Mus musculus: one gene and its partners. The protein of the gene in region 1 interacts with the protein of each later gene in a pairwise test. Links are inferred from orthologs where the notes say so. Each region holds a gene or a part of one and is shown in the gene's direction. Other genes may lie near its edges.

Region 1 (7,444 bases):
TTTGAATTTTTGCTTAATTAATACATGTATATGTATTAATTGTATGTGCGCATGTAACATATATGTGTATACATATACACATACCTACATATATATAAGCACACATACATATTTGGCATACATATCACTTAATTTGTGTTTTTGCCACAGTCTAGCAATGCAACCCAGGCTAGACTTAGACTTGAAGTGTTTTGCCTCCGTTTTGTGAGTGTGAAAATGGTAGGGGCATGCCACCACATTTAGTTCTTTATTGTCTTGGCAATTATGTTCATAGGTATGGAGACGTACTTTAAGGGTAAAGCAAAACAATAAAATACAGGATTGCAGACCTTTGTTTAGGTGATAGTAAATGTGTATGTGTATATTTTAATGTTTGTTTTAAATGAGATTCAAGTCATGCAGTTACATGCCTTGAAGTGATTCTTTGCTTTAAGTAATTTTGGATTTCCTCTGAGCATAATAGAGGGTTGGTCTTTTTTCCCTATAAACTGTAGGTCTTCATATTTACCACTAGAGGGTTCACTTCCAAAGCCGATTGTGATTTGATAATAGTACTTTTTTTTTTTTTGGTTTTTTTTTTTATAATAGTACTTTCTAACAATTTGGTAGTAGAGGGGACTATAAAGAAAACACACTGCTTATTGAAGTGTGTGGTTTAATTATTGATTTCTTATATTGTCTTTATTTTGTTCCACTTATTTTAATAAATATGAAACAAGGAGAATGCTTCAAAAATACTCAGCTTTAGTAATATGAAGGTATTCATATTTTTTTTTATAAAAACACATAGTGATCTAAAGATGTTTAATCACAAATACCAATTTCAGTCTGAAAGCACATGGCCATATAATAAGTCCCTGGACTATCATGTTTCTAATCTTGAGATTTTTGGTTTATTATGTTAAACATAACAAGATAAGATAGAAAGTATTGTATATAGTCTTATCTTTGCTGATCTATAGTTTGTTTTTAACATTTGATTTGCTAAGGAAACATCCTTGTTTTTTTTTATATGTTATATTCTTAGTAAATAAGAGGGTATATTTTGGGATAGATTGTTCATGTGTATGGCTGGTGGTAGAGAATAAAGAATATTTACTAAATCACATAGGGATTATTTCAAAAGCTTTAAGTTGAGCAAAATGTAAACATGGAGGCACTTGGAAAACATTACTACCAGTATTATATACAGCATGCTAATGTTAATGCTATATATAGTGTGGCATATAGCAGATATTATTTGAACTTTAAGAGCTGCTGCTGCTTGATTTTAATACAGAATACAAGTCCTGGTAAGAATATGTTATCACCAATGTCTTCAGTTTCCTGAAGCAAGTTAGATTATTATGCTTTTTTATACAAAAGCAGATGTTTTGTTTTGGTTTTTTTTTTAAAACAGGATTTTCCTGGGTAGATCTGGCTTTCTTAGAACTTACTCTAGACCAGGATGGCATCAAACTCAGTTCCACCTGCTTCTGCCTCCAGAGTGTAGAGATGGAGGCATGTGGCACCACATTTAGCTGAGTTTTTATTAAAAAAGAGTTTGTATCCCCATGTAGGCATGAGAAATCTAGTAAAAAAGTACGAGCCGCCCAGGTCTGACGAGGTTGCTGTCCTGAAACAGAAGCTGGAGCGGTGTCATTCTTCTGACCTTGCACTTAATGCGGTTACGTAAGTAGGCATGATAAAGAAGTTATGTTCACAAAGTCATTGAGTTCAATTGTTAAATTATTTCACTGTTACAAGTTTGTTAGTCTTAGCACCTAAATCAAACTTTATAAAAAGTTGAGTATACTGATTTTGTCTGTGTTGGGAGGCAAGCTCAGGGCCTTGTCCATAGGCAAGTGCTCTCTATTTGTCCACATCCCCAGCTTGGCCTATGTGCACATTTCTAGTGGAAGTAAACATAAGGAAGGAATGTTGGGCTTTCACCCTACAGGTTGATCCTGATCGTTAGTGTGTAGCTTGGCTCGCTTTCCCACGTTATGGGATCACTGGGAGCCAGTCTTCCTATGAAATTGTTAAACCTTTGTCTCTTAGCCAACCTGATATTTTCTGGTGAACAAATGTACTGTTTTAGACTTAATTTTTATAAACTAGTAAGGAAGGAAGCATTGTGTCAGAGAACGAGTAAAATATTCTGTTAGGTTGTGTAAGTATAAGAGCATATTTAATGTCTCTTGCTTTGTAGGCTAATGTAGAATTTACTATAAAATACATATTCTCTACATAAAAGATCCATTGTAACTTAATTTTTGAGCATGTGATAATACAAGTAAAAGATTTTGTTTTATATGTATTGACTCTAATCTTGTTACTTATTAACATGTAATGGGAATTAGCTGTGATAGCTATAGATGTTTATTTATTTATTTATTTTATTAGAGAAATGCTAACAAATATGTGTAAAAAGCTGAAGAGTATGCCAAAGTCTTCAGCACAAGATAGTCATGGCTTAATTTCTTAAATGTAGTTTTAGTAGAGGATTCCCAGGGCTTGCAGAGTGCAAATTATAGGACGGTTGTCTTACAGATATAGCTTCAAAACATGTCTTCATGTAAATCTTGAATTGGTAGGTTTCAGTAGTAACTAGTAAATATCAGAAGGTTGTAGAGAATTAAAGTTGACACATTGGTAAGTAGAAGGACTGTAGCACTTGACTGTGTTCTTACATTAAGTTTGAAAAGAACAGTTATTGGAAGATAGAATGCCCATTATTGGTTTACATAATTATTGTGGCTGTTTTCATTCTGTGGCAGAAAAGTTAAGTGCTTATGGCAGAAACTGCATGGCCTATAAAGTATTTACTAATTTGTCCTCAGAGTTGGATCATTTGACTATTAATTCTGTTCTAGCTAGTAAAGGAATGGGCCATAATCCAGAAATTTCTAATCGATAGAGTTTACATTTTATTCCAAGTTGCCATTTGCTTTGCCAACCCTGCCAAAAAAGATTTCTACATTCTTGTAAGTGTCTGAATATTTCTTTGTAAAAGAAGGACTTTAAAAATTATAAAATACAATCAGTTTCTCCAAAGTGAAATATACATAAAAATATGTTTAAATTCTGTTAGATTCACCAGTTAGAAGTTACTGTCAATTTGCTGTATAGTTTCTACATAGTGTCTGTTCTGCTCCTCTCACTGCAGGCTGGAAACAGTTCATGAACAACACTAAGTAGTAGTACTTCAGCACAAAGCATTTATTTTTCCTTGATCATTAACATTTCTGCCTTTATTTTTCATTGTACAGTTACTGTATTCTTCTAAGTCACCCACTGAGTAAACACCAATGTTTCCTTTAATCAAACAGATTTTGATCTCAGAAGTCACTTACCAGATGGGTCTACCATCTGCCAACCTTTTCTTTGTAGAAATGCATGAAATACTTGTTTGTAGTAATGTGTCCACATCATGCATTTAACATTGCCAGTCTTTAACTTTTGCCAGTCCGGGTGAAAAAGATAAGAGTCACCTTGACCATTTGCATTTCCCTGGTTACTGTAACTATTGATGTTTCCAGATTTAATAGCCATTTGTAAGTTTTCTGCATTGCTTCTGGCATTTTATTCTTGTAATACATTATATATTAACATCTTTTTTAAAAAAGATGTTTATCCTATTTATGTTTTTTCTTACACTACTTTGCCAAAGAAATGCTTAGGAAGGGTAAAGGCTTTGGGGGGCTTGTTTGTTTTTTAACCAATATTTGTAGTTTTTCTAGTTTGTTTTTGAGTATTATTTCATGGTTTTCTTAGTTGACAATTTTTAATCACAAATAAAATTAAAAGGTATATCCAGTTTTTAAATCATTTATTGTATTTCAGTTATGTACTTAATAAGCAAGTACCTGTGTGGAGAGCAGAGGACAACATAAAAGAGTCAGTTTTCCTCTTTCCATACAGCCATGGGGAACAAACCAGGCTGTCCATCTTGGTGTCTAACCCCACTGAGTCTGTCACCAGATATGCAGAGCCAGTTTTGCCTGTCCTGCTTTGACTGCCGATGTATTAACAACACCATATTCTTAATAACCATAGCTTTTATAGTGTGTCCTTTTATTTGTTCCTAAACAGGGTCTGGTTTAGGACGCCTCAGATTCTCAATTATTCTATCCTACCTGAGTGTTGGCACTGCAGGTGTGTGCCACCACTGCACTCCACTTTAGTATGCTTTTATGATAACCAAGACAAGGTCTTCCAACATTTTTTCCCTCTAGATTCTCTTTGCTATGTTTACTTGAGGCCAGGTATCACAGTGTAACCAATGATTATCCAATAATCTCCTTAGAGTCACAAGAACTGGGACTTATGGGTATGTTCAACGTTTTCGTTGTTTTCATCTTTGTAGGTTCTTGCTACACTGGATTAAATATTAAATATTGCCTTTGTATCCACAGATAATACCTTTCCAGCTATCTAGTCCCTACTCTTCAGTACATAATGTATTTTGTTTTTGAAGATAGGGCCTCATTTTTTTAACCCATGCTAGACTGAACTGAAGGCAATACTGGTGCCTTAGTCCGAGTACTGTCATTGTAGCTGAGGGCTACCACATGTTCACATGGCCGTGCTAGCTTATTTTATAGGTTTTGTTGCCACTAACAGTTTTGCTAATCGATACTTGCTTAATTATAGGAAGAAGAGGAAAGGCTATGAAGATGATGACTATGTGTCAAAGAAACCCAAACAGGAAGAGGTATGTTTTCCCCTGAAGAGAACTCGCTATAACTTACACTTTCTGGCATGACCTAAGCTAGTGTGTATGTTCTGAACTACTATAAGCATTATAGAGAGGTGGGGCTGAGAACGTTTAAAACAGTGTCTTGCTTTGTAGCCCAAGTTGGTCTTAAACTCCCAGTTCTTTTTTGACCTGAGCCCACCGAATACTAGGACTACAAGTACCTCTAAAGTTTGAAATTATTAAATTTTTACTCACCTGTTTATGTACAGTAAAAGTTTTAAAGAAATCGTTAAAGGGAAGATTTATGTTGGGTTATGTTCAGGGGGAATGGAGTCCATGGCAGGAGCACGTTGGCAGCTGCTCGTTATGTGGTGCTAATCAGGAAGCCTATGCATGGGCTGTTTTCACATGACTCTGAACCACTTCTAAAGTAAGCTACCTGACTGAAGTAACTTCCTACGATAGAAGGCAGTGATGCTAAATTTTATCTATTCTCTCAGGATTCTTTCCTTGCCTTACCCCAGTTTTAAAATCTCTCTCTTAAGAAGTCAAGGATAAATAAGCACAGGCAAAGGATAACTTTTCACTCCTCACAGAGTGGGCAGCTGCCATGTCGTTATCACAGTCAAGTGCAGGACTTAGCACATACCTGTAGTTAGCACTTGAGGTATAGAGGATCCAAAGCTGGCTGAAGGCATAATAGGAGACTATCTCAAAAAAAAAAAAAAAAACCCATCTACAGTAGACTGTTGTCAATCCACAATTTCTTAAAGGGAGGGAGGTAAACAACAAATGGCTCAATACTTCAATGTTACCCTTACCACATTCTTTTCCCTTTAGGAGGAATGGACTGATGACGACCTGGTAGATTCTCTCTAACCATAATAAATGACCGCAGCAGTACTTATTAACCAACGGAAGTAGGAAGCATGTCTGACATTTTACTTTTTAAAAAAATAGTACAATGTGAAAACATCAAAATATATTAAACTTTTCTAGTTGTTCTATATATTTTCTTTGTGATTGTTTTATATAACATATAGCTTCAAAAGGGGTGAATGCCACCTAGTTTGAATATTCATAATCCACTAGGATTAGTTGCAAACCATGTCCTCCTGTGGTAGACAAAGTCAGACTGTGCTACACTTCCTTGTATTGTTTTAGACAAACTATAATAAACAAACCTTTCCATTTAGAAGCATTATACTAGAAAAAAAAAAAACCTGAACAATAGGTAAACATCTGAAAAGTTAAGAAAATAGGTTTTATCCTCCAGAAGCCCTTACAAATGCTTCTCAGATGTCTCTCCAGTAGACTGAACTATTGATGATTCATTACTAAGCTGGAGAATGTACTGGGCACTTACGTAGTACTTAGGTGCTAAATTTTATTACATGCAGTTACAGATATCTTCTAGGTTTAAATAAAAATAGAATTTTTGAGTATAGATAAAAAAAAATCTTAAATTTCTACAGATAAGTCATAGTAAATGATATAGTCAATTTTATCATTAAATGATTACCTCTCAGTAAATCCTTATAAAGTTGGCATTATAGTGACTAGAAATCTGTAGAAAAATTATATGCAAAAATTTAAAGTTAAATAACTTAATATAAAAACCCAAAACATATGCCTCTACTTTTCTATGACTTTAGTTAATTATATACCTCAATGTGCTATTTTCCCAAATACAGATTGGGGAAAATAATGCCTGCTCCTGATGGGATTAGTCACAGCAGTGCTTGACATACTAGTATGTATTTGCTGTATATTAATAATATGTGTTACAGTTAAGACCAAAATAAAGATAGATATGCATATATTAGACCAGTGTTTTGTTTTGATGTTTCTTTTTCTGCAACACCGGCTTGAAGAAATTCTGAGAAAATCAACTTTGAATCTAAATCTACCTAGCTTACATATTCCATGATACACTTCCCAGGAGGGTAGGTAGCATTTTAGCTATGTTTTTTTGTAAATGGTGTTTACTCTATGTGCATTTTCATCTCTAATATTTTTATGGCTTGAGTTTATTTGTAGGGTTTTATAAAAGTAGAGTAAAAATGAACACTCCTCTGCCCAAGTATAGTTCAAGTAGAACAACATGCTAGACTATAGACAGAACTGCAAGTGCTCGCAGTGTGTCTGCTTTTCTTTCATATCATTAAAAATTTGGCATTAAAGCAAGGGCCACATCTTTCTCTGAAAATTTCCTATCCATCCCCATTAAAAATAGGTTTGAAAGATTTTATTTCATCACTGACCACCTAGTTACTACAGGGCCTAAGAAGGTAAATAACACGTTTCCCACTCCAATTTAAAAGACAGAGCATGTCACTATAATACAAAAATGAGGATAAGTCAGATTTCTTTTAAAATAAATGGTAGAAAAGGGAGAAGCATTTCAGGCTTAAAAAAAAAAAATTGGCAAATAGGCTGTCATGGCCGAACACTCACAGTCAGTGAGGACAAACTAAAATGCCTTAGAGTCCGGATCTCTCCCTGTTTGCCAAAGTCCATATTTACATTAATTTGTCTGTAGCCTTTCCACGTTATAAACTAAGGACAGAGATGAGTTACTGTCAACATCAACAATGGGAACTGCATTGACAACAAAGCCAAGAAGCAGGTTTTGTTGTTGTTGTTTTGTTACCACCGTTAACTTGATTGAAACTATGTGAGGAGAGTAAATTTACCTTTATGGTAGCATTCAGCCCTATATGTAAGCTAGGGAAATCTCTCAATAATATTCTAAAGAATACA
Region 2 (7,271 bases), on another chromosome or scaffold:
CACATTTCTCAGTTGATCATTACAAAGGATATGGCCGAGAGGAGTCCTTCCCTTGGCACAGTTAAACGCAGAGGTGAGGTTGCTTCACTGTTTTTGTAGGAGTGTCCTATGTGCAGATAGAGTGCATGTCAGAAGAGGGCATCAGATACCATTATAAAAGATTATGAGCAGCCATGTGGTAGCTGAAACCAAGGACCAGAAGTCCTTGAACTCAGGACCTCTGGAAGAGCAGCCAGTACTCTTAACCACGGAGTCACCTCTCCAGCCCGCAGAAATCTTTTTGAGTTGGTTTGAGGAAGTCATTTCAGCTCTCAGCAATACAGTACCATACAGCACTAGCAGGCTGTTGTTATCAGCTATTGTTGAGAGGATCTGGGGGTAAAAGGCCTGCCACTGTTAGTTGTAAAGGGCATGTTCAACGACACAGATTCATCTCAAGATCTACAGTGGTATCGTTAGCGCTGGCAAGCTGTACCGAAATAAAACCGCTCCACGGCAGTACTGCGAGTTAGTACCATAGTCTGCCAATGGGACCTGAGGCACTTACTGTGCCTTTAATATCTCTGGAGTGACAGGGGCAATGCAAGGTATCCTGTGGCTCCCTCCTCACAACTTCAACTTCTGGGAAATGTCACAAGCTGGACTGGTGGTGGCCCGGGCACCAGAGGCTTAGTATATTTTGTGTTTACAGTGTGATGACTGATAATGTTTTCTGTTTGCCACAGTGACAGATCAGGCAGACATGGAGACAATCCCAGAAGAGCCAATAACAGTGAATTAAGATCAGAAGCCCCCGCACAGCCTCCTTAGAGAATGAGCATCTACTTAACTGATACACAACTCCTGGGTAATGTAAAACACTGTTGTCTATAGCCGAAAGTTGTTGGAAGGGCTCTGCTACTGACATTCTCTGCTTCACACTGCGAAAGTGTATGACTCAGATACTATACTGTGCCATTTTTCTTTGTTCTCACAGATACCCACCTACCTCTGCCTCCTGAGTAATGGGATTAAAGACACGTGCCACTATGTCTAGCTATGTTTATTTTTATGTTTGTGTATGTTTTGCTGCATGCAAGCCTGTGCACTATGTGCATGTCTGACGCCCTTAGAGGTCAGAAGAGGGTGTGTGATCCCTGGAACTGCAGTTCTGCATCGTGTGAGGCATCATGTGGAATGTGGGCACCGAACCCATGTCCTCAAGAGCCATTAGTGCTGTTAAGAACTGAGCCATTGGGGGCTGGCGAGATGGCTCAGTGGCTAAAAGTGCCGTTTGCTCTTTCGAAGGTCCCGAGTTCAAATCCCAGCAACCACATGCTGGCTCACAACCATCCTTAACGAAATCTGATGCCCTCTTCTGGAGTATCTGAGGACAGCTACAGTGTACTTACATATAATAAATAAATAAATCTTAAAAAAAAAAAAAAGACGTGGGCTGGTGAGATGGCTCAGCGGGTAAGAGCACCTGACTGCTCTTCCAAAGGTCCGGAGTTCAAATCCCAGCAACCACATGTTGGCTCACAACCATCTGTAACAAGATCTGACGTCCTCTTCTGGAATGTCTGAAGACAAGTACAGTGTACTTACATATAATAAATAAATTTAAAAAAAAAAAAAAAGAGCGCAGACTGCTCTTCCTAAGGTCCTGAGTTCAAGTCCCAGCAACCACATGGTGGCTCACAACCACACGTAATGAGATCTGATTCCCTCTTCTGGAGTGTCTGAAGACAGCTACAGTGTACTTACATATAATAAATAAATAAATATTTTTAAAAAAGAACTGAGCCATCTTTCTACCCCCTTCTTCCTCCTCCTCCTCCTCTTATTTATTTTATGCATGTGAGTATATGGTAGCTATTTCCAGACACCCCAGAAAAGGGTGTCTTAGCCCTTTTACAGATGGTTGTGAGCCACCATGTGGTTGCTGGGAATTAAACTCAGGAGCTCTGGAAGAGCAGCCAGGGCTCTTAACCGATGAGCCATCTCTCCAGCCCTTGGTCTTTTAATTACTTGGTGCTCTTGCAAAGAACCCAGGATTATGAGGAGCACTGGTCCTTGATTTGTAACCCACTCGAGTATAAGCCATTTTCACCAGCAGGCCCTACAGTCCTCTGAGAGGAGAGAATGCCTCCGTAAGATCTGGTGGGCTCTCCTGTAGAGCACTTTCTAACCAGTGATCAGTGGGGGAGGGTCAAGCCCATTGTAGGTGGGGTCATCCTTGGGCTGCTGCTCTTGGGTTCTGTAACAAAGCAGGCTGAGCAAGCCATGAGGAGCAAGCCAGTAAGCAGCACTCCTCCATGGCCTCCAGCTTCCTGCCCTGCTTGAGTTCCTGCTTTTGATGAACATGTTATATGGAACCATGAGTGAAACAAACCTTTTCTTTTCTTTTCTTTTCTTTTTTTTTGGCTTTTCGAGACAGGGTTTCTCTGTGTAGCCCTGGCTGTCCTGGAACTCGCTCTGTAGACCAGGCTGGCCTCGAACTCAGAAATTCGCCTGCTTCTGCCTCCCAAGTGCTGGGATTAAAGGCATGAGCCACCATGCCCGGCGAAACAAACCTTTTCCTCCCCAAGTTATTTTTGGTCATGGTGTTAATCCCAGCTATACTAGTCCTAACTAAGACAGCAGGCTTACATCAGTTCTAGGCATTGGTAGAAGGTGGACAGAGGACACCCAACACGCAAACAGGGAGGAGTGTTGAAATAGGCAGAAAACGACCTCAGTGTAGCTAGCCTAGTTTGAAAGATTTAGAGAACTTTTTATTGCAGTGACTGTTGGGCAGATGTCATGGTCCTGCCCATCTCCTGCTTCCCCTGTGTGGAAAGACAACCCTGAGGGAATCGGGTATTTCACAGACCTAAGGGCCACTTTATCTGAGGCAAGTAGAAATGGAGACTCTGAAAAGCCACACCCGAGTACTGAAGCGTTACCAGGGAGACGGTGGTACCCAACCATAGCTCTGGCCACCAGCCGAGCCCGTAGGTCAGGGTCAAATGTGCAGCAGACACGCCCCCCCTTTGACTAAAGCGCCAGGAAGACCGTGTAAGCGTCACTTCCGCCCTCAGCTACCACATGTGGGAGGCGGGGCCGTAGTGGGGGCGCATCTTATTTGGATCACTTCCGGTGAGCCCAGCAGTGACCACGGCAACATGGCCTTGAACGGTGCAGGTATGCGCTTGGGATGTTTGGGCAGTGGCCGTGGGGTGCGGGAGGCAGCTCTCTCTATCTCCTGTGCCTGTTTTCTCTAGATGTCGACGATTTCACCTGGGAGCCTCCGACTGAAGCTGAGACGAAGGTGCTGCAGGCGCGACGGGAGCGGCAGGATCGCATCTCCCGTCTGATGGGGGACTACCTGCTCCGTGGTTACCGCATGCTGGGCGACACGTGCGCCGACTGCGGGGTGAGGCGAGTGATGAGGCCGAGGCCGCGGACCGGGCCGCACGACCTTTCCTCAGCTCCCTCTTCTGTGAACCCTGTCTCTCCGGCTCACCTATGTCCATGTACTTTCTGGTCCCCAGACGATCCTCCTGCAAGATAAACAGCGGAAAATCTACTGTGTGGCTTGTCAGGAGCTCGACTCAGACGTGGATAAAGATAACCCGGGTGAGGGTCCGAGTGTGCACTGTGGGGAGAAGAGAGTGGCGATAGCTACAGAGGAACTGTGAGCCTGGGAGGTGACAGTGGAAACTCCTGCGTGCTGTGGCATTAAGGTGCCTTCTCGTTTCCGCCCTAGAGAGGTGTTTCATTCAAGAAAGACCATCAGCCTTTTGTTTCTGACACCGTGGGGAGAGTCCTAGCAAAATAGTCATCCTACGTTGTAGAGTGCACGTGCAACCCTGGGTGCTTGTGCATGTTGGACAGGCATTTTACCACTGAAGGGCGGGCATCCCAGTTTACAGGAATAGACTTGATGCATAGATGAGGCCAGGCCATCTGTCAAGCAACTGGACCTCAAGTGTAAATCAGTGGGGCAGTGTTTGGCAAGCATGTGTAAGGAGAAAGAAGAGTAGAGATGAGATGGGATTGGCTTAGGCAGAAAACACCAGCAGCTCAGGGACATCAGTAAAGAGCACATGACTCGGGAGAGGCGGACGGGGCACCCTCACTCTTCCACCACTTTTCTTGTTCTAGCACTGAATGCACAGGCGGCGCTCTCTCAAGCTCGGGAACACCAGCTGGCCTCATCTACAGAGCCTGCCTCGAGCTCTCGGCCCCCATCCCAGCCACCAGTACCCCGTCCAGAGCACTGTGAAGGCGCAGCAGCCGGGCTCAAGGCAGCCCAGGCGCCTCCTCTTCCGGCTGCACCTCCAAATACGGACGCGGTGGCTTCCACACAGACGGCCCTCCTGCAGAAGCTAACCTGGGCGTCAGTCGAGCTGGGCTCTAGCACCTCCTTGGAGACTAGTATCCAGCTCTGTGGGCTTATCCGGGCTTGCGCCGAGGCCCTAGGCAGCCTGAAACAGCTGGATCACTGAGACCTCTATCCTGATCCCTGTTCCCCTGAGAAAAACCCTCCAGAAAAACAGTTTTTCCTCCGCGTGGTTTGTTCTTTCTTGGTTCTGAGTGTGCATGTGAGCCCCAGTTCTCCTCGATGGTTTTCCTTGCTTTTGGCATCTCACCTTTCCATGGTCTTTTCTACCTGAATGGTGAAGTTCTGCATTCAGGACAAGAAGTAAATGGCAGAGGGATAAGTGACACCTTATTCCAAGGACTGACCTCAGTCTTCCCAAAGGCTGGGCCACTAATCATTGTCTCTGACCCAGTACCCCCTTTCCTCCACTTGAGTGCCATTTGAAGTTTCAGTCCCTTTGGTGGCTTCCTTTCCTTCCTTTAACCATCCTGACTCTACCATCTTTCTCCATCTTCTGGCTGCTAGGATGTTGACAAATTGTGGGGAGGGGCAGTGATGCACTGTAAGAGTCAGGCACAGTCTTACCTTCCTACCCCAGACTCGGGCCTCCCACATCCCCGTGCTTTTAGAATCCTTCCCTTGGGAGAGGACACATTGTATAGGAATGAGGCAGCAAAAGGTCGCCAAAAAACCGTTTCTGACCCTTTCGGCCTCCCCTGTCCCATCCAGTTCTTTGATGGGTTTTTCGCTCCAGGGTCATCGCCGCGTTAAGAGAGGCCCCGCCCATGCAGGGGGGTGGAGCATAGGCGGAGTCCTAGGAGTCGGGGACGGAACAAAGCACGGCCTGCGGGCGGTGGCTGAGATCTCTCCGGAGACCGGGCCACGGAGAGCTGGTTCTCTGGGCAACAGCCCGCTGAAAACGTAAGAGGGGTCCAGGCGGCATCGTGGTCCACGCCTGCCTGGCTATGAACGGGCTGCCCGCGACTGAGGCGCCGGGCGGCGCGGGCTGCGCTCTGGCCGGGCTCCCGCCGCTACCGCGCGGCCTCAGCGGCCTTCTTAACGCTAGTGGGGGCTCGTGGAGGGAGCTGGAGCGTGTCTACAGCCAACGGAGCCGCATCCACGACGAACTGAGTCGTGCCGCCCGCGCCCCGGATGGTCCTCGCCATGCCGCTGGATCTGCTAACTCAGGTTCTGCAGCGGGCCCGCGCCGCCCGGTTAACCTCGACTCTGCACTAGCCGCGCTGCGCAAGGAGATGGTGAGTAGGTGGGCGCCTCGCCAGGGTAGTAGCTCTGAAGAGGGCAGAAATAAGTCTGGGATCCGCTTCCTCATCTCAGGTCCAGCAGGAAGCATCTGGTCACGGGGCTTTAGGACAGCACTGATAGTAATGTGTAGCAATTGTTGCATTTTTAAAAACTTGCCTGATTTCATCTTGCTGGACAATGTTACCCCATTGTATAAATGAGGGCCAAGGACTGGCTGGAAGGTTTCACAGTTGGCAAGTACCATCTGTTCTCAGAACTTTCACTTAAAGGTGCAGGAAGATTGGATAGGGTTGTCGTCCACGGTGGGAATTCTGGGGGTGGCCCGGACCCCCAACTCCAGCCCACTGTCAGTTGTCTGTAGGTGGGGCTGCGACAGCTGGATATGTCCCTGTTGTGCCAGCTGTGGGGCCTGTACGAGTCGATCCAGGACTACAAGCATCTGTGCCAAGACCTGAGCTTGTGCCAGGACCTGTCATCCTCTCTGCACTCGGACAGCTCCTACCCACCTGATGCCGGCCTGTCTGATGACGAGGAGCCTCCTGATGCCAGCCTGCCCCCAGACCCTCCACCCCTCACCGTACCCCAGACTCACAATGCCCGTGACCAGTGGTTGCAGGATGCTTTCCAAATCAGCCTTTGAAAGCTGAGGTGGATAGGAACGCACCCATACAAAAGGCTCAAAACTTGCCCTTCAGCAAGTCCTTAGTCTACAGTGCCTGCTCTTTTACCGGTACCACCTCACCTCACTTCAGGAGGGCAAGGCATTATACCCATCAGGCAAAGCGGTCAAGATTGCAGCCTGTGCCCAGTGTCCTGGGCTTCCACTTCTCCCACATGTGTGCACCCTAGCTTGGCCAGCCCTTAGTCTGACTGTGGGGCCCAAAGCGTCTTGCACTCCCGTTTGCATCTCTGGGACTGGGATGAGTGCCTAGCTCTCATCTCTTTTTCGTCTTTTGCTGCCTCTTGCAGCTGCTGGCTCAGCGGCATCCCTACCAGTGGCCCCAGGGGTTCATTGCCTGGGACAAGGGCTCCAGAACCCACCTCTGTAGCCACCCACGACCAGAAAGGCTAAGGTCTTTATGCTGGATATTTAAGTTTAGCGGCCAGTTCCTGGGCGGGAAAATAAATAATTTCAGCATTGTATTGTGATTGCCTGGTTAATTGGTACTGGGTTGGGGAATAGTTTTCTGGCAAGTGTAGTCTACGTTCTGCCGGCAGGTGGCGCCCAAGACCCCCTAGCGAAAGGCTTAATGGGCGTGAGATGCGAATCTTCCCTCTTGCGGGCAAGGTTGGAAGCTGGCCCTGCAGCAATATGAAAGCGGTCAAGTCTTTTCCCCTTGGGCTCTACGTTTTCGAACCCAGCATGCCCTTCCGCCTTGCTTTGAGCCTTTTGGGAAGGAAGGAGCCGCCCATCTTGAGGAGAGAAACTTTCCACCTCCCGTGCTGGGAGGAGTTGGCACAGGAAATGGGTGGGCCGGAGCTGCCTGACCCAGGGGCCCATCCCCATGAATAGGGAAAGGTCCAAGAAGAGTCTTAGAGTTGGTGCCCCGTGAGCTGTAGGGATTGCTGGGAAGGAGGGGTGTGGAGGCCGAAAGGAGTAAACAAGTTTCAGTTTGTAGACAAGCCTTGGAAGGGAGGGAGATGGCAGCCGGGCTCAGAG
Region 3 (7,044 bases), on another chromosome or scaffold:
GTCCAGCATAGCGTCTGCTCACCTGCTGCCCACTCCCTTTTGTAAAAGAAATAAAGACCTCCCCCCTTCATCTTGCCATTGCCTGGAGTGTTTGAGCCACTTTCCTTTGGGGTGCTGGGTGGGGCCTGCTGTGAGTGTATAAGAACAACCGCCTTGTACCCCAGCATGGGAGGGTGGGGACTTGGAGAATGCCAATCCCAGGAGGGGGCTGCCAATCTCCTGTTACCAGTGGGGAGACCAAAGCCCAGGGGCAGGAAGGGACCTGCCCAAGGCCTCTATAAGTCAGCTGGAATGCAGCTCTGCGTGCTGACCTCATTCTGCTCTGTTTCCATAAATTCCACCCTGTCTGGTACCCTAGACGGTCACAGCAGAGGGGGCTACTTCGAACAGCATTGCCTTGGAAGAAAAAGGCAAACAGCTGAATCACTTAGGCGTCCTCTGCTGTCCCTTCCCAAAGGCAATGGATGCACAGCTCTGAGCCTCGTAACAGGACTCAGCTCACAACCAACCACAAACCCCTCTGGTCAGACTGTTGAATTTGATCCTCCCAAAGGCAGAAATGACCTAGGAAGTTACTAGAAAAGAAAAGGTTTTGCCAGTTGTGGTCTATTCTTTCTAACTCTTTTTTTTTTTTTTTTTTTTTGTTTGTTTTTTGTTTTTCAAGACAGGGTTTCTCTGTGTCGCCCTGGCTGTCCTGGAACTCACTCTGTAGACCAGGCTGGCCTCGAACTCAGAAATCCGCCTGCCTCTGCCTCCCGAGTGCTGGGATTAAAGGCGTGCACCACCACACCCGGCCTCTTTCTAACTCTTAATAAGAATCCCTCTTGCTGAGATCGGATGCTCCAGAAAGGATGAAGAACACCGCACAGACACACAACAGAGACACACAGACACACACACACACTGGACCTTGTCTCCTGTCCTGCTGACTCAGGCAGCTGCTTTGGAGTCCCATGCTTTGCCAGGGCCTGCTGCCTCCTGCCTGCCTGGGCTTCTGGACTTGGGAAGTAGAAGCCTGGAGGCAAAGGGAGGCAACTGAAGCAGGAACTGAGTCAGGATATGCAGGCCGGAGCTGGCAGGGGTGTCAAGGCCTGGCTTCGGTGGAGGAGGAAGAGGGTCTAGAACTGAGCTGCAGCTGTAAACCCCCACCAGCTTCCTGGCTTAAGAGGCACGAGGAGAACACGCCCTTCGTAGGCTTAGAAGAAGTTTCAAGTTTGCCAAGCCCCACCGTCCAGACTCCTAGTGTCCTGGGGTTTCCAAGTTGCCCCCAGGACTTGGGGAAGCCCAGGCCAGGCTGAGAGCCAAGGAAGGCCCTTCAAGGCTGAGGAGAATTCTCCCAACGGAAAGGGAGGAGACAATGCTTACTGTGCCAAACAGTTTGTCAGTCTGGAGAGGAAAGAGTTTGGACTGAGGACCCCGACTCTTCTGTGGACACCCGGCTGGGCCACGGGGTGCGGAGAGTTTAGGATCTTTCCTCATCCCATAGAACCCAGCTCAAACCCCAAAACAGGGAGGGGGTTGCTGAGGATATATTCAGTCGGTAGAGTTCTTGGAAACCCTGGGTATAACCCCGGCACCGCTGCTAAAGCAAACATGGTGGCAGTCCATATATAGACCAGACTGGGCTAGAACTCAGAGAGATACTTGCTTCTGCCTGTTAAGTGTTAGGATTACAGATGTGCACCTGTCTATACAGGACTGGGGAGCAAACTCCATACACACTAGCAGGGACTCTACCAACCAAGACACACTCCCAGCCTCTGCTTTTCCCCAGGGTGGGGGTAACATGTTTCCCTTGTGGCAAAGCCAGTCACCAACTGGCATGTCCCCTGTGTGAGTTTAAATGCTCAGACTCTAGCCGTACACTACCGTGGTCTTCCCTAACTTGATGTTTTACTGTAGTTCTGTGCCTGTGCCATGAGTTAGGCAAAGCACGCAAGATCTCAGGACAGAAATCCCATCTGCTTCCTGGGAGAACCTGTAAAATTAGCCAGGACCCTGAAGTCTCTCAAGAGCCCCTACTCCGTGGCCCAAGCACATTCCAGCCTGTTCAGGGTTCTGGCCTACAACACCTCTCCCGGAGGCAAGGCGAGTGCTCAGACACTGTGAGGAGACAGGCAAGGTTGTGCAATAGTCCTGCTTCAAGGGTTAGACTGGCTGGGTCCTAGGAAGAAACTTCTTTAGAAGGAACCACGGAGTCCCATCTAAACTTGAAGAATGTGGTGGGGCACATAAGCAGGAACACACCCTCAGTGCCCATTCTTATCATGGGCCTTGAAAATAGGGCCCAACCAATCAGGGATGGAAGATTGGGAACAAAGTGATCTCCATCTCCAAGGAGACTTCTCTCAGGGGTCAGAGGCAGAGTCTTGAAGGGACTTGAGAACCTCTGGGAGCCAAGTGAGGGATCATACTGGGCTGGAATCACACACTGCGCCATAAAACAAAATGGAATGTGCCATTCCCAGCTCCTTTCCCTCAGCCCTGTCTTCCTCCCCAGGTTGATAGCGTCCCCCCTGGGGGACCAAACTGGACTGAGCACCCAGGTGGCCTGCTTCCCAGCCTCTGACAGAGGTAATCTGAGTCAGGCAGGGGAGTGGGACAGTCAAAGAGTTAGGCCCCCACCCTCTGGGAACCCTGCCGATACATGACGACAGGCAGCTTGGAAGGGACGGGTGACCCGATGTGGAGAACCAGAGAGTAAAGTCTCAGACAAGTGTCAACAGGCCACCAACTTGAAAGGGAAAATTGTGCTGTAAGGGGGAAGGTGTCCAACAAACATATTGGGTGACTAATTACAAAGGCTGGGCTGGAGCGTCAGAGGCCGCTCGTTAAACACTTCATTAAGTGGCACCCTGAGATGCCACCTGCGCATCTGGGGTGTTCATAGGGCATCTTGAGGGAGAACAAGGACCAAGGGATGGAGCTATCTTCAGGCCGGCTCAGCTAATGGCCCCCAAAGAGAGCCAAGAGGAAGAGGGGACACGGAGGGGGAGGGGTTTAAGGGAGCTGGCAGCTTGTGACCTCAAACTGGTTTGGTTCACCCCTGAGACTTGATAGTTCTACCTCTACAGTCCTACAGAGCCAATTCGGGGGTTGGGGGTAGTTGCATCAGATCATGGATGCGCAAGTTTGGGGGAAACTGTACAGCCCTACCTATACATGAGTTCTCACCTGAACTGTCCCAGCTCCCTGGGCTCTGCCTGGGCTAAAGCAGCTCGGTGGCTGAAGCCTGGAAGATCACCCTGAAAGACAATCTGATTTGGTAATCCAAGACGCTCCTGCAATGCAGCCAGCCCTGAACTGCAGGGGGCAGTCTGGAGCCGAAAGGTGCCTTTGCAGGTGGGACCTGCGGCCAGGTTTCTCCTGCTGACTGTCCTGGTGACTCACAGCCCCCTCCCGTCCCAGCCCTTTTACCTTAAAGGTAGAGCCGGAAAGGGTGTGGCGAAGACTAGGAGGAGGCAGGGCCCAGGCCCGCTCAGACCACGCCCAACTCTTCTCAGGGCCATGCCACCCCAGCCAAAAGGCAGAGCCAGAGCAAGGGAGCCGCAGAACCCAGCGTTACTCTCGAGACAGCCAGTTCGCCCGTCTGTCTGTCCATCCTCGCAGTCATGGAGAGAGCCAGTCTGATCCAGAAGGCCAAGTTGGCTGAACAGGCCGAACGGTATGAAGACATGGCAGCTTTCATGAAGAGCGCCGTGGAAAAGGGCGAGGAGCTCTCCTGCGAGGAGCGAAACCTGCTTTCCGTAGCTTACAAGAACGTGGTGGGCGGCCAGAGAGCGGCCTGGAGGGTCCTGTCCAGCATCGAGCAGAAGAGCAACGAGGAGGGGTCAGAAGAGAAGGGCCCCGAGGTGAAAGAGTACCGGGAGAAGGTAGAGACCGAGCTCAGAGGTGTGTGCGACACCGTACTCGGCCTGCTGGACTCGCACCTCATCAAAGGGGCTGGAGATGCAGAGAGCCGCGTCTTCTACCTGAAGATGAAGGGTGACTACTACCGCTACCTAGCCGAGGTGGCCACTGGCGATGACAAGAAGCGCATCATCGATTCTGCCCGGTCAGCCTACCAGGAGGCCATGGACATCAGCAAGAAGGAGATGCCGCCTACCAACCCCATCCGCCTGGGCCTGGCCCTGAACTTTTCAGTCTTCCACTACGAGATAGCCAACAGCCCCGAGGAGGCCATCTCGCTGGCCAAGACCACCTTCGACGAGGCCATGGCCGACCTGCACACCCTCAGTGAGGACTCCTACAAGGACAGCACCCTCATCATGCAGCTCCTGAGAGACAACCTGACGCTGTGGACAGCCGACAGTGCTGGGGAAGAGGGTGGTGAGGCTCCGGAGGAGCCCCAGAGCTGAAGCAGCCGACAACCACCCCGGCTCGCCTTGCCCTCCAGTCCCCAGCCTGCAGAGAGGACTAAAACGGAGTGGGACTCTGCCCTTCCCAAACCCTGAATGTTCAGCCACACCTTGGAAGGCTCCTTTGAAGGGGGCGCAGCCAAGCTGAAGCCACCAGGGCAGGGAATCTCACTCTTCGTGTAGCTGTCTGGTGGGTGTTCCCAACCCATCCCACCCCTGCTCTCTGCACCCCCTCCCCACTTCCTCCCCCTGAGCCTCCCTCGGGCACCTGTTGCTTCTGGATCCGAATAATCCAGGAGGCTCCCCACCCTGTGGCTGAGAACTGGACTGTGGCAAGGGCTGTGTGTGTGAGAGAGAGGGAAACTCTGTGTGTGTGTGTGTGAGAGAGAGAGAGAGAGTGAATGAGAGGGAACACGTTTGCTGGGTGTGACCATGCTACCACTCAATAAAGTTGCCCTGTGACACTCGGTCTTCTTCAGTTATTGGCCATGGGTTGAGAGTAGAATTAGAAATGAGTTAAGAGAACCGGACTCTGAAACTCTGAGCTAGGTCTGTCCCTTGGGGCTGTCTGGGTGACCTGGAAGTGAGACGAGCCTTTGGGTCGGTGTCGGTGACCTGGAAATTTTGGGTAGGGTGACTTCAGGTGAGAGGCCACCAGGAAGTCCCCGCAGCGCTTCGGCTCAGGCCAGGTGAGCACAGAGGCAGGTCAGGAGAGCAGAGGAGAGTGGGGGCTGTAGGCGGGAAAGCCGCGAAGTCAGGGAAGTTTGGGCACAGTGGCCTTAAGAGACACGCTTCACAAGTGGCACTGGGGACCTCACTTTAAGAAGCGGGAAACGGTCACGTCAAGTGCTCAGATCTGAGCCGAGGGGTGCAATCTGAGGCAGGGGCATAGTGCCTCCAATAAAACAGATCAAATAAGGGAAAGCTCCCCAAGGCCCAGGGACAAAAAGAAATCGGCTGAAGAGGAGCGGGCGCGAGCTGGGTGGGAAGAGCCGCAGGGAGCTGGGCTGAGCAGCCCACGGCCTGCGCGCCCGGCAGGCAGCGACACGCACCAGCCCGGGGCAGCCCGCCGCCGTCTCCACGGCCCAATCACTGGACGGACTCTCTACAGAGCCCGTCCCCGGGACACGGTTGACCAATGGGAGAGCGAAGGGTGAGTCCTCCCGCCCCGTCGGCCGCGCTACCCTTCTGGAAAAGACGAAGAAGTTGCGGCTCGGGGAGCGCAGCGGGGCGGCGCCTTCCCGGTTTCACTCAGACAAGTTGCCACCCGCCCGACTCGGGAGCTCGTCCCCCACCCCCGGGAGCAGCGGGACAGGGCGGGGCCGCGCGCAAAACTTAGTCTCCGCCCTTTGAGTCATCCACTCACCTGGCCATGTCTGGACCAGGCTGCCGGCTGAAATCGGCTGGAAAAAGGCCAAAATGCTCGTCTCCCGAGCTTCGGAGGCAGACCTGCGCTGGTCGCCAGCAGGCTTGGGTTGTATCCCTGACTTGATTTGTAGTCCGGAAAAAATCATAGCACCTCCCAGGACCTCAGTTTCTCTTCTGCATCGCTAAAGGTTCCACAGTTAGAAAAAGTAAAAAGCGGGGTTCTACTAAGGTGCAAGGTTTCAGCCTCCTTGCTTGAGGCTCTCAACTTTTGGGTCCTCCTTTGAATAAGTTGCTTCCTAGGCCCGGAAGGGTGGCGGATGCCTTTAACCTGAGCACTCTGAGGCAGGGTGGACCCTTCCCGGGAGCTAGGGTGTGGCTCAGTTTATCTAATGTCCAAGGACAGGTCCCCCGTGCCTAAAAATAAAAAACAAAGTGATTAAGTAAACGAAGGACAAGACTGGGTGGGAGTTGGGAGTGAAACCTTCAAAATGTTACTAATTCCAACCAGTGTCAATCCATCTGGGATTTATCTAGTATTTCTGAACCCAAATCCGAATAAGCAAGCCTCAGGCTCAGTCACTGTCAAAGTTGACCTGGGTGCTCACCTAAGAAGGCTGCCTAGCTTGGCAGCAAGAGAACTTTCTGGAAGGATTAAGGGAACTCAGGTCAAATTTACTGGGTTCTCCAGAGTCCACGTTTGGCCACACCCATAGTACTCTGCTCTTGTTACCGCCCATAATTCTTCAGAGAAGTTACTGGGCCTCTTTGGAGCATTCAGGGTCCTGTTTTTTCACTTCCTGGTGATGTGTTGGGTTTCAAGGTTCCAAAGTCACACAAGAGTCTGGACTAGGGCAGGCAACTCCCCTCAGCTCAGGAGGTGACCCGGTTTCTTTCCACTAGACTGGTCTGGTGACTTTCTCTTAATGGGGTAGGTCCTGGGAAAGGAACTTCTGTGTCTCTCAGCCAGCGTCTGCCTGCTGTGTGTTGGCTCCAGACCATGTATGAGAGGATGGGAGCTGTCCTAAGGTACTGTGCTGGCCTTAAGGGTAATCAAGGGGAGAGGCCCTCAGCGGCAGGTCATGAAGCCGGCTGTGTATTAGCACCGGATCACAGCTGGCTAAGGCTGTAGGTTTGTACCAAAGTGGTCTCAGACCTTTTGGTCTACGAGGTGGTTAAAAAAAATTATGGGGTGGAGAGCTGGCTTGGCAGTTAAAGCACTGGCTGAGTTTGGTTCCCAGCACCCACACAGTAGCCAACTTCTGTCTGCAACTCCAGTCCAGGGGGATCTGATGCCCTTTACTGACCTTCATGGACACCA

Evidence for each region.
Region 2: the proteins of Ccnh (region 1) and Znrd2 interact in binary tests that used the Homo sapiens proteins (3 or more experiments, as listed by UniProt). The two-hybrid records come from large-scale screens. The link is inferred for Mus musculus from reciprocal best matches to the Homo sapiens genes CCNH and ZNRD2.
Region 3: the proteins of Ccnh (region 1) and Sfn interact in binary tests that used the Homo sapiens proteins (3 or more experiments, as listed by UniProt). The two-hybrid records come from large-scale screens. The link is inferred for Mus musculus from reciprocal best matches to the Homo sapiens genes CCNH and SFN.

What each region holds. Positions count from the first base shown.
Region 1 is NC_000079.6:85,207,219-85,214,662, forward strand, and holds the end of Ccnh (cyclin-H), read left to right. Parts: intron 1-1,559; coding exon 1,560-1,671; intron 1,672-4,635; coding exon 4,636-4,696; intron 4,697-5,521; coding exon 5,522-5,560; 3' UTR 5,561-6,513; downstream 6,514-7,444. UniProt on the Homo sapiens protein: Regulates CDK7, the catalytic subunit of the CDK-activating kinase (CAK) enzymatic complex. CAK activates the cyclin-associated kinases CDK1, CDK2, CDK4 and CDK6 by threonine phosphorylation.
Region 2 is NC_000085.6:5,727,570-5,734,840, reverse strand, and holds Znrd2 (protein ZNRD2), read left to right. Parts: upstream 1-3,108; 5' UTR 3,109-3,146; coding exon 3,147-3,165; intron 3,166-3,245; coding exon 3,246-3,397; intron 3,398-3,515; coding exon 3,516-3,600; intron 3,601-4,128; coding exon 4,129-4,472; 3' UTR 4,473-4,535; downstream 4,536-7,271. Other genes in the region: Fam89b (leucine repeat adapter protein 25), read left to right, coding at 5,314-5,604, 5,973-6,251. UniProt on the Homo sapiens protein: Might play a role in mitosis. Antigenic molecule. Could be a centromere-associated protein. May induce anti-centromere antibodies.
Region 3 is NC_000070.6:133,598,337-133,605,380, reverse strand, and holds Sfn (14-3-3 protein sigma), read left to right. Parts: upstream 1-3,212; 5' UTR 3,213-3,611; coding exon 3,612-4,358; 3' UTR 4,359-4,825; downstream 4,826-7,044. UniProt on the Homo sapiens protein: Adapter protein implicated in the regulation of a large spectrum of both general and specialized signaling pathways. Binds to a large number of partners, usually by recognition of a phosphoserine or phosphothreonine motif.